2 linked regions of the Tamandua tetradactyla genome follow. The protein of the gene in region 1 interacts with the protein of each later gene in a pairwise test. Links are inferred from orthologs where the notes say so. Each region holds a gene or a part of one and is shown on either strand. Other genes may lie near its edges.

Region 1 (3,747 bases):
GTCTTTCTTTAGCCTCCCTGTTGCTAACCCATTCATTGTAAGAGGTACTGGTGAAGAGTTTTCTGGGAGCCTTGGTATACGGAAAATTCTAAACCTTCATAGTTTTTTAGAGTGGACTGAGTGTTCCCCTTGGGTCCTGCTGGAAGTGCTAGCATTGATATGAAGTCTCCGTGGGGAGAGCATGTAGGCATCTGGATTAGGGCCTCCTCCCACTTCACCATCTTTCCTCTGTTGCATCTAGAACTGAGAATGGGAAGATCTGGACTGATTTTCCTTGTCTTGTGGTTCTGCAGGTCATTTGTCTTTTGTCTATCCCAGCCCTTCCGGGATTTAGCAGGGCCTAGGGGTCTCAGCTTTTCTGAGGGGATGAGCATCTCTCCCTCGAGTCTCATGGCTGGGCACAGTCAGTGTCACAGGACAGGGCCTGTAGCCCTGCCCCCACCCCTCCATACACAATGGACCTCTGTCCTTGGGCCTCCCTCCTCCCCACCAGGTCCTACCATCATTGTCACTGCCCTGTTTGGGGGGAGGAGTCTTGTCATTTCTGTTCCAATTCAGTTCCTTAGGTTTTCCAGAATGAAAAACAACCTGTTTTGGGGGGGAGGGGTTAGTGGGGAAGAGGCAGGGACAGGAGGTAGGATTTGGGACTGGTATTGGCAATTCAGGTTCTGATATCAAGCTTCTTAATCCAGAGAGAGGGAGAAAGAAAGCACAGAAGAGACCTCCAGGGCGGTCCTTCCCATGACTGTCTCCATCTTCAGTCCACTCCTGGATTCCAGGTCCAGGAGTCCTTGGGTCCCAGGTGGTCAGGGAGGGGTGGGAGAGGGGAACCCTCTTGGGGTGGAGCTTCTGTGCTCTCAGGGGCTCAACCCAAGGTAGAGAAGCTGTCAACTCACTTTCCCCGGAGGGGACTTATTTGAGGTGTAGGTTGTGGCACGAGGTGGGTGGGAGACTGATTGATGGTTGCTGATTTTTCTGCGGCAGCCAGAGGAGAGGATGGGTGCGTTCAGCTCAGGAAGGCTCTGGAGAGGCAGCAGACATGCCAGTCTCACCCCATCTACCGACTGAACGGCGGTCATGTCAGGGCAGGGTTGCACTTGACCTCTGTGGTGAGGAGGGGAAACACAGAAAAACTAAAGTTAGCATTTCCCCACGTGTGTGTGGGCGGGGAGGAGGGGTAGTGCGTGTTTGGTTAACGATGGGATGCACAGGCCCAAGGTCGCAGAGCCCCCCGCCTGGCTTGTTCATGGCCATGTCCCGCACCTCGAAGAATGCGTGCAGACCCTTTGCGGAATGAATGCGTGACGCCCCCCTAGCTCAATCCGATCCCCCCTACCCGGGACGCAGCTCCACGGACGGCTCCCGGGGCCCACTCCGCCCTGCTCATATCACCTGCCACCAGGCTGGTCGGGCGTAGCTCCCAACCCGCTAAGATGGGTGCTGACGCCCGGGAGGAAAGTGCCTTTCAACAGGGCCAGGTCGCGGTGGCGGCTCGGCGCGTGAAGGCGCGCCCCCCGCCCCCGCGGTCCGGCCCCGCCCCGCCCCTCCGCTTCCTCCCTGGCGGCGGGCGCTGCAGCCCTCGGCGGGCAGAGGAGCCGGGAGCGGGTCTGCATGGCTGCGGCGGAGGCGATGGTGAGGAGGCTGCCCGCGGGGGCGGGGGGCGCGCGTCGCGGCGGGCCGGGTGGGATCCAGGAGTCCCAAGTCCAAGAACCGGGCCGTCTTCCGGCCGTGGTGCCCGGCCGACCCAGCGAGGTGACTAGGGGTGGGGACCGCAGGACCGGGACCGGACTGTGCCCTCCCGGCACGCAGCCTGGAAGGGAGACTGAGGCTTGCGTCCCGTCCAGGCTGCCCCACGCGGGGTGAGCAAAGTGGCTGCGAGCACGGACTTTGGAGTTAGACCCGGGCTGAGATCCTACCCGCGGCCGCTATCCAGCGCTGTGGCCCAGGCGCGTCACTTAGCTTCCAGTATTCTTTTCCGCAACTGTGAAGTGGGCTCAGCAGTCCCCACCTTGCTGGGGTTTTGCGAGGTTAAATGAGATATAAGGACAGAGATCTGCTTAGTCTCACAACTCCCTCCCACGAGGTTGGAAGGTAATGTGATGACCTCTTTGGCCCTTCCTGGAGCTGTGAGAGCCAAACCTGGTCCAAGTTGGAAATTTGAGTAGATGGGGTGGTTACGGCTGCGTCAGCCCATGGCAGGGTACTGGAGGACAAACTCCTTTCCTGGGGGAAAACAAAAGGAAAAGTAATTACTTGTGAAAGTTCCACTGAAGTTATCAGAGTGTGGCACAGACCTGACTCCCTTCCTAATGTCTACCTAGGGACACATTCCAAAGGTGAGTCATCCCCTTCCCCTACTGCAGATTAAGGCTTCTGCCCCACCCCACCCGGGTCATTTCCAAGGCAGAGGTGTCAGGGACAGCTGGTGCTGGTTTTCTCTGCCATGCCTATCCTCCCTGCCACCCCCCACCCCCAAATTCCAGAGCTAGAGGATTCTGCCTTGGAGAAGCTGGTGGAGATGTGATGGATGTGGCCTGGCTGAGGGTCCTGACGCCTGGATGGCCGCAGCTCCAGGGATCTGGAGACAGGAAGAGGACGTGGGGCAGGAAGGTAGTGCAGAGCTAGGACGGCCATGCCAGGAAACCAAAGGAGGCGGTGAGCATGGGACAGAGCCCAGACAGAGCCCAGAACCGGCTTCTGAATATGCAGGGCAAGGGGGCAGTCACGCGGGGGGTGGGCCTTCAGCCAGCCCTAAGCCCCTGGGGAAGAGAAAGGAACCTCCGGAAGTACAGGCTGAGGCCAGGGTCATTTATTCGGCAGTATCAGAAAACCCTGGTACTCTGGAAGGTTTGTTTATGGCAAACAATGGGTCAGAGCCTCGCCCCTACCCATCCCTCTTCTCTTCTTTGCCTCTTGCGCCAGCTCTTTCCTTTCCTGCATCTCATCCCTGTGTACTGCCTGGTCCTTTTTCCGTTCCCTTCTTCCTTATGCCTCATTCCATCAACAGTTTATTTCCTGGGCATTTCCTCTGTGCCAGGCATGGTGGCAGATGTAAGGGATAGAGTAGGAACAGTGGTGGGGAAGATGGAAAAGAGTAAGTAATTTCCTGAATTCCTTCACCTTGAAAATAAATGGTCCCCTCTCACGCCCAGCCTAGAGAATTTGTGTTTGGAACCACAAGCCTTCCTCATATGCACCCACATTGAGCTGGCAGCATCAGAAGCTCTGGTGTGTCTTTAGCCAGGCAGCAAAAGCATTTTACCTCCCTTACCTGCATCCAGTTTACCACAGGGATCAAGAATCTCTGGAGCTTGATCTCTGGAGTCTATGTTGGTTCAAATCCCAGATCTTCACTTGCCCGGTGACCTTGGGCAGGTGATTTAACCTCTCTGGGCCTCAGTTTATTATAAAATTGGGACAATGATACGGTTCTCAGTGGGTTGGTGTAAGGCTTAAATCAGATAAAGTGAATAAGCACCTAGCGGCTTAGCACACAGCAGGTGACCCCGGAATCGTGGTCATTATTACTGCTTCAGACGTGAAACCTCTCAGCAGCCCACCATGCCTGATGAAGCTAAAGAGGCAGGTTATCAAGGCCCACTTAAAGCTCTGCATTTAGATTAGTACAAGGAGTACACAAGTTGGCATGAAGCCAGGCCTTGCTTGGTTGTATATTTTGACTGGCCCAAGTCAACATATCATTCAGTACTTGGGATCTGACTGCTTAAAAGCAAGGGAAAGCTTGGG
Region 2 (3,747 bases), on another chromosome or scaffold:
TGAGAGTGGGGAATTGAAATCTCCAACTATTATGGTAGATGTGTCTATTTCTCTTTTCAGTGTTTGTCTCACTTATTTTGGAGCACTCTGGCTTGGTGCATAAATATTTAAGATTGTCATGTCTTCTGGTTGAATCACAATTTATTCTTGATATATCTTCAAAAGTAAATCTACCACATTCTTTTGAAAGCCTGCATAATATTCCATTGAATGGAAGGGCTATGCTTTATTCAATCATTCCCTATTGCTAGGCATTCAGGATGGTTCAGGGAGATTGTTTAGTGACAATCCCATGCATATATCCTTATGACTTGGTGCGTTTTAAAATAAAAATGTGAACGGAAGGGATAGAAACAATATTGTAGGTTGTAATCACAACCCAGCCACCTGGTGCTTTTATATCCTTAAATGGGATTCCTCATCAGAATCAGGCTTGGCCATTTATTTGGCTGTTATCTTGGGCAGGTTATTTAGCTTCTCCAGGCCGCAGAAAATGGAGATAAAAGTCACATCAACATTCTAGGTTGGTGATTCTACTTTAGGTGTATCAGAATCATCTGAGTGCCACTCCCAGCGTTTCTGATTCAGTCCATCTCTCGGTGGTGCCAGATCCTTTCCATACCTAACCACTTCCCAGGTGATAATGATGTTCCTGGTCTGGGGGCCACGCTTTGAAAACTACTGTTCTAGTTCGTCCCAAGAAGTTTCAAGAGTCCGATGTGAAACACCCGGGGCAGTTTCTGGCACACAAACTGCTATTTCTGCTTCTACGCAGCAGAGACCTCCTTCAGGAACCGCGGTTCACAAAGGATCCCCTGACCACAGAGCCCCTCCCGAGTTCTGTCAAGACCACGCAGCTGGCCCGTAGGGGCGTGGCAAACCCTGGTGGGCGGGGCGGTCGGAGTGACACCGCGAGTGAGGAGGCAGGGCCGAGCGTGCGTACTGCTGCGCCTGCGTGCAGAAAGGGAGGGGGCGTGGCCCCGGCTCCGGCGGAAGCGGGAGGCTGCAGGGGCGGGCCGGCTCGCATCCCTTTTCCGGCCGGTCCCCATGGAGGCGCTGGGGAAGCTGAAGCAGTTCGATGCCTACCCCAAGACTCTGGAGGACTTCCGGGTCAAGACCTGCGGGGGCGCCACGGGTAGGCCGCGGAGGGGCCGGGGTCGCGGAGATGGGGGGACCCTAGAGCTTGTCCCGGGCGCCTGTGGCCTGCCCGGGGCTGAGGGAGCGGAACAGAAGCAAAATCCTGACCCTTGCCCCTCGTCTTGCAGTGACCATTGTCAGTGGCCTTCTCATGTTGTTGTTGTTCCTGTCCGAGCTGCAGTATTACCTCACCACAGAGGTAAGGGGGCGGGGTCCTGTACCTGGGCGGGGCTCAGCATTCTAGCGGTGGGGCCTGTGAAGGTGGGAGAGGCTTAGGGCCCATCCTTGCTGAGCTATCGCTGCCCCAGGTGCATCCTGAACTCTATGTGGACAAGTCGCGGGGGGATAAACTGAAGATCAACATCGATGTGTTTTTTCCGCACATGCCTTGTGCCTGTGAGTACCTTACCATGGGTGGCATTGCTAGCCCCAGGGTTCTCGAGTGGGCATCCAGATTCACACCTCCTGCCTTAATTATGGACTGGACCCCGGAACAAACCTCCTCCCACAGATCCAGTCCTGCCCCAAGTCAGACCCAGCAGCCCTTTCCACTCCAAAACCCAGATACCATTGTCCCTAGGATCTCAGTACCTTAGCCCGACTTCCTGCTTCCAGATCTGAGCATCGATGCCATGGATGTGGCTGGGGAGCAGCAGCTTGATGTGGAACACAACCTGTTCAAGCAACGGCTGGACAAGGATGGCATCCCCGTGAGCTCAGAGGCAGAGCGGCATGGTAACCAGGGGAGGGGGCCAGGGCTTCAATCCCAGAACTGGATATGCCCAAGCTCTACTTCCTGGCACATGGGCTCCGTGAAGCAACTAAGACCCAGAAAGGTCAAGAGGCTTTTCTAGGGTCCCCCATGTATTCAATTAGAGAGCACTGAAATTCAGCCCTCATTCTCAGAGGTCCCCAATCCCTGCCTGTTGTGAGTTGAATAACAGAAGTTTGGAATGACCCTTTGTGCTGTTGCCTTGGTGGAACTCCTCCAGATACACCCAAGCCTCCCTAAGTCTTTGCTTCCTTAGCCCCCTGGCCAAATTCAGTCCTTAATGCTCTTCCCCTTTGGAATGTAAGGAGACTCAAAGAGTTTAGGCTCTAGAGTCAAACTGCCTGAGTGCTTGTCTAGCTTTATCTGTTGTAATCTGAGCCTCAGTTATAAAATGGTGATAAAAACAGTAGTAGCCACAACATGGAATTTAGGATCAAATAAGGCATTATATATAAAATGCCTGGTACAGAGTGGATGCTGACATTTAGCTCCTTTCCTCTCTCTAGGTTGCCTCCCAGTGGCTCCGTTAACTCAATTTCCCATCATAGCAAAACCCTCTCCCAACCTAATTTGAAAACTAGGAGTTTTCAAAATCTAGGGATTGCTCTGGTGAGGAGCTTTATCAATCATTCTTTTAACAATATATGTTGAACACTTTGAGGACCAACAAAATTTTCTGCAGTATTGGATGTAGGGGGTGTAGAGAATAGAGTCAAACATGATTCCAGAGCTTTTAGCCTGAGATAATGAATGACTTGATATGGGGATGACCAAAGGAGAAGGTTTTTTGGGGGGGTGAAGGTGGGACATAATGGAAGAATGTTCCAAAACCATTGCTGTGTAACAGATTATCCTAAAAGTTAGTGACTTAAAACAACAAACATTTTTTTCATAGTTTCTGTGGGTCAGGAATTTATGAGTTGCTTGTTTGGTTGGTTCTGGCTCAGTGTTTCTCGTGAGGCTGTGTTCAAGCTGTCTCATGGCATTGCTGTCATCTGAAGGCTTGACTCTGGTCGGAGGATCCATTTCTAAGAGGGTGCACTCATTTGGCTGTTGGCAGGACACCTCAGTGCTTCACCCCATGAGGCCCTCAGTAGGGCTGCTTGAGTGTCCTCATGAGGTGGCAGCTGGCTTGCCCTGTGTAAATGATCCAAGAGAGAGCAAGGTAGGAACCACAACTTCCTTTATGACCTAATTGCAGAAGTTGCACACCATCATTTCTGCACTGTTATTGGTTTCCCAGGTCAGCCTTATTCCTATGGGAAGGGACTCCACAGGGGTGTGAATGCCAGAAGGTGGAGGCCATTTGAGACATCTTGAAGGATGGCTCCCACAGAGGAACATCAGGATTGGAGGAGATACCTGGTCTGAGGCATGTTAAGTTGGGGATGCTTATTTTTTCCCCTAGTGATTTTAAGGAAGCAATTGGATGTACTAACTTGGTTTGGAATTTAGAGGAGTAGGGCTGGAGAAATAAATTTAGAAGTCATCAGCAATATAGATGGTCTTTAAAGCCATCAGGCCAAGTGGGGAAACCTAGGGAGTGAATGTAGGTAGAGAAGTCTAGGGACTGTACTCTGGGCCACTCCAGCACTTACAAGTCAGAAAATGAGGATCCATTTTCTGAGAGGTATTAGCCACAAGGCAGGAGAGGACAAGAGGTGCCCCAGAGGTCAAGTAGAGAAAGAGTTTCAAAGAGAGAGAGTGAACATCTGTGTCGAAAGTTACTAATTACCATTAAGAGGAGGAGTGGGAGGTGACCCTTATAATTGGCAATGCATGGGTCACAGGTGAAGTAGTTTGAATAGAATAGTTTCTCTTAAGGATACTGTTAGGGA

Evidence for each region. The genes of interacting proteins can lie anywhere in the genome.
Region 2: the proteins of VAMP5 (region 1) and ERGIC3 interact in binary tests that used the Homo sapiens proteins (3 or more experiments, as listed by UniProt). The link is inferred for Tamandua tetradactyla from reciprocal best matches to the Homo sapiens genes VAMP5 and ERGIC3.

The regions. Positions count from the first base shown.
Region 1 is NC_135343.1:59,888,523-59,892,269, forward strand, and holds the start of VAMP5 (vesicle-associated membrane protein 5), read left to right. Parts: upstream 1-1,549; 5' UTR 1,550-1,611; coding exon 1,612-1,632; intron 1,633-3,747. UniProt on the Homo sapiens protein: May participate in trafficking events that are associated with myogenesis, such as myoblast fusion and/or GLUT4 trafficking.
Region 2 is NC_135327.1:16,958,865-16,962,611, reverse strand, and holds the start of ERGIC3 (endoplasmic reticulum-Golgi intermediate compartment protein 3), read left to right. Parts: upstream 1-956; 5' UTR 957-1,047; coding exon 1,048-1,135; intron 1,136-1,265; coding exon 1,266-1,336; intron 1,337-1,445; coding exon 1,446-1,533; intron 1,534-1,752; coding exon 1,753-1,872; intron 1,873-3,747. UniProt on the Homo sapiens protein: Possible role in transport between endoplasmic reticulum and Golgi. Positively regulates trafficking of the secretory proteins SERPINA1/alpha1-antitrypsin and HP/haptoglobin.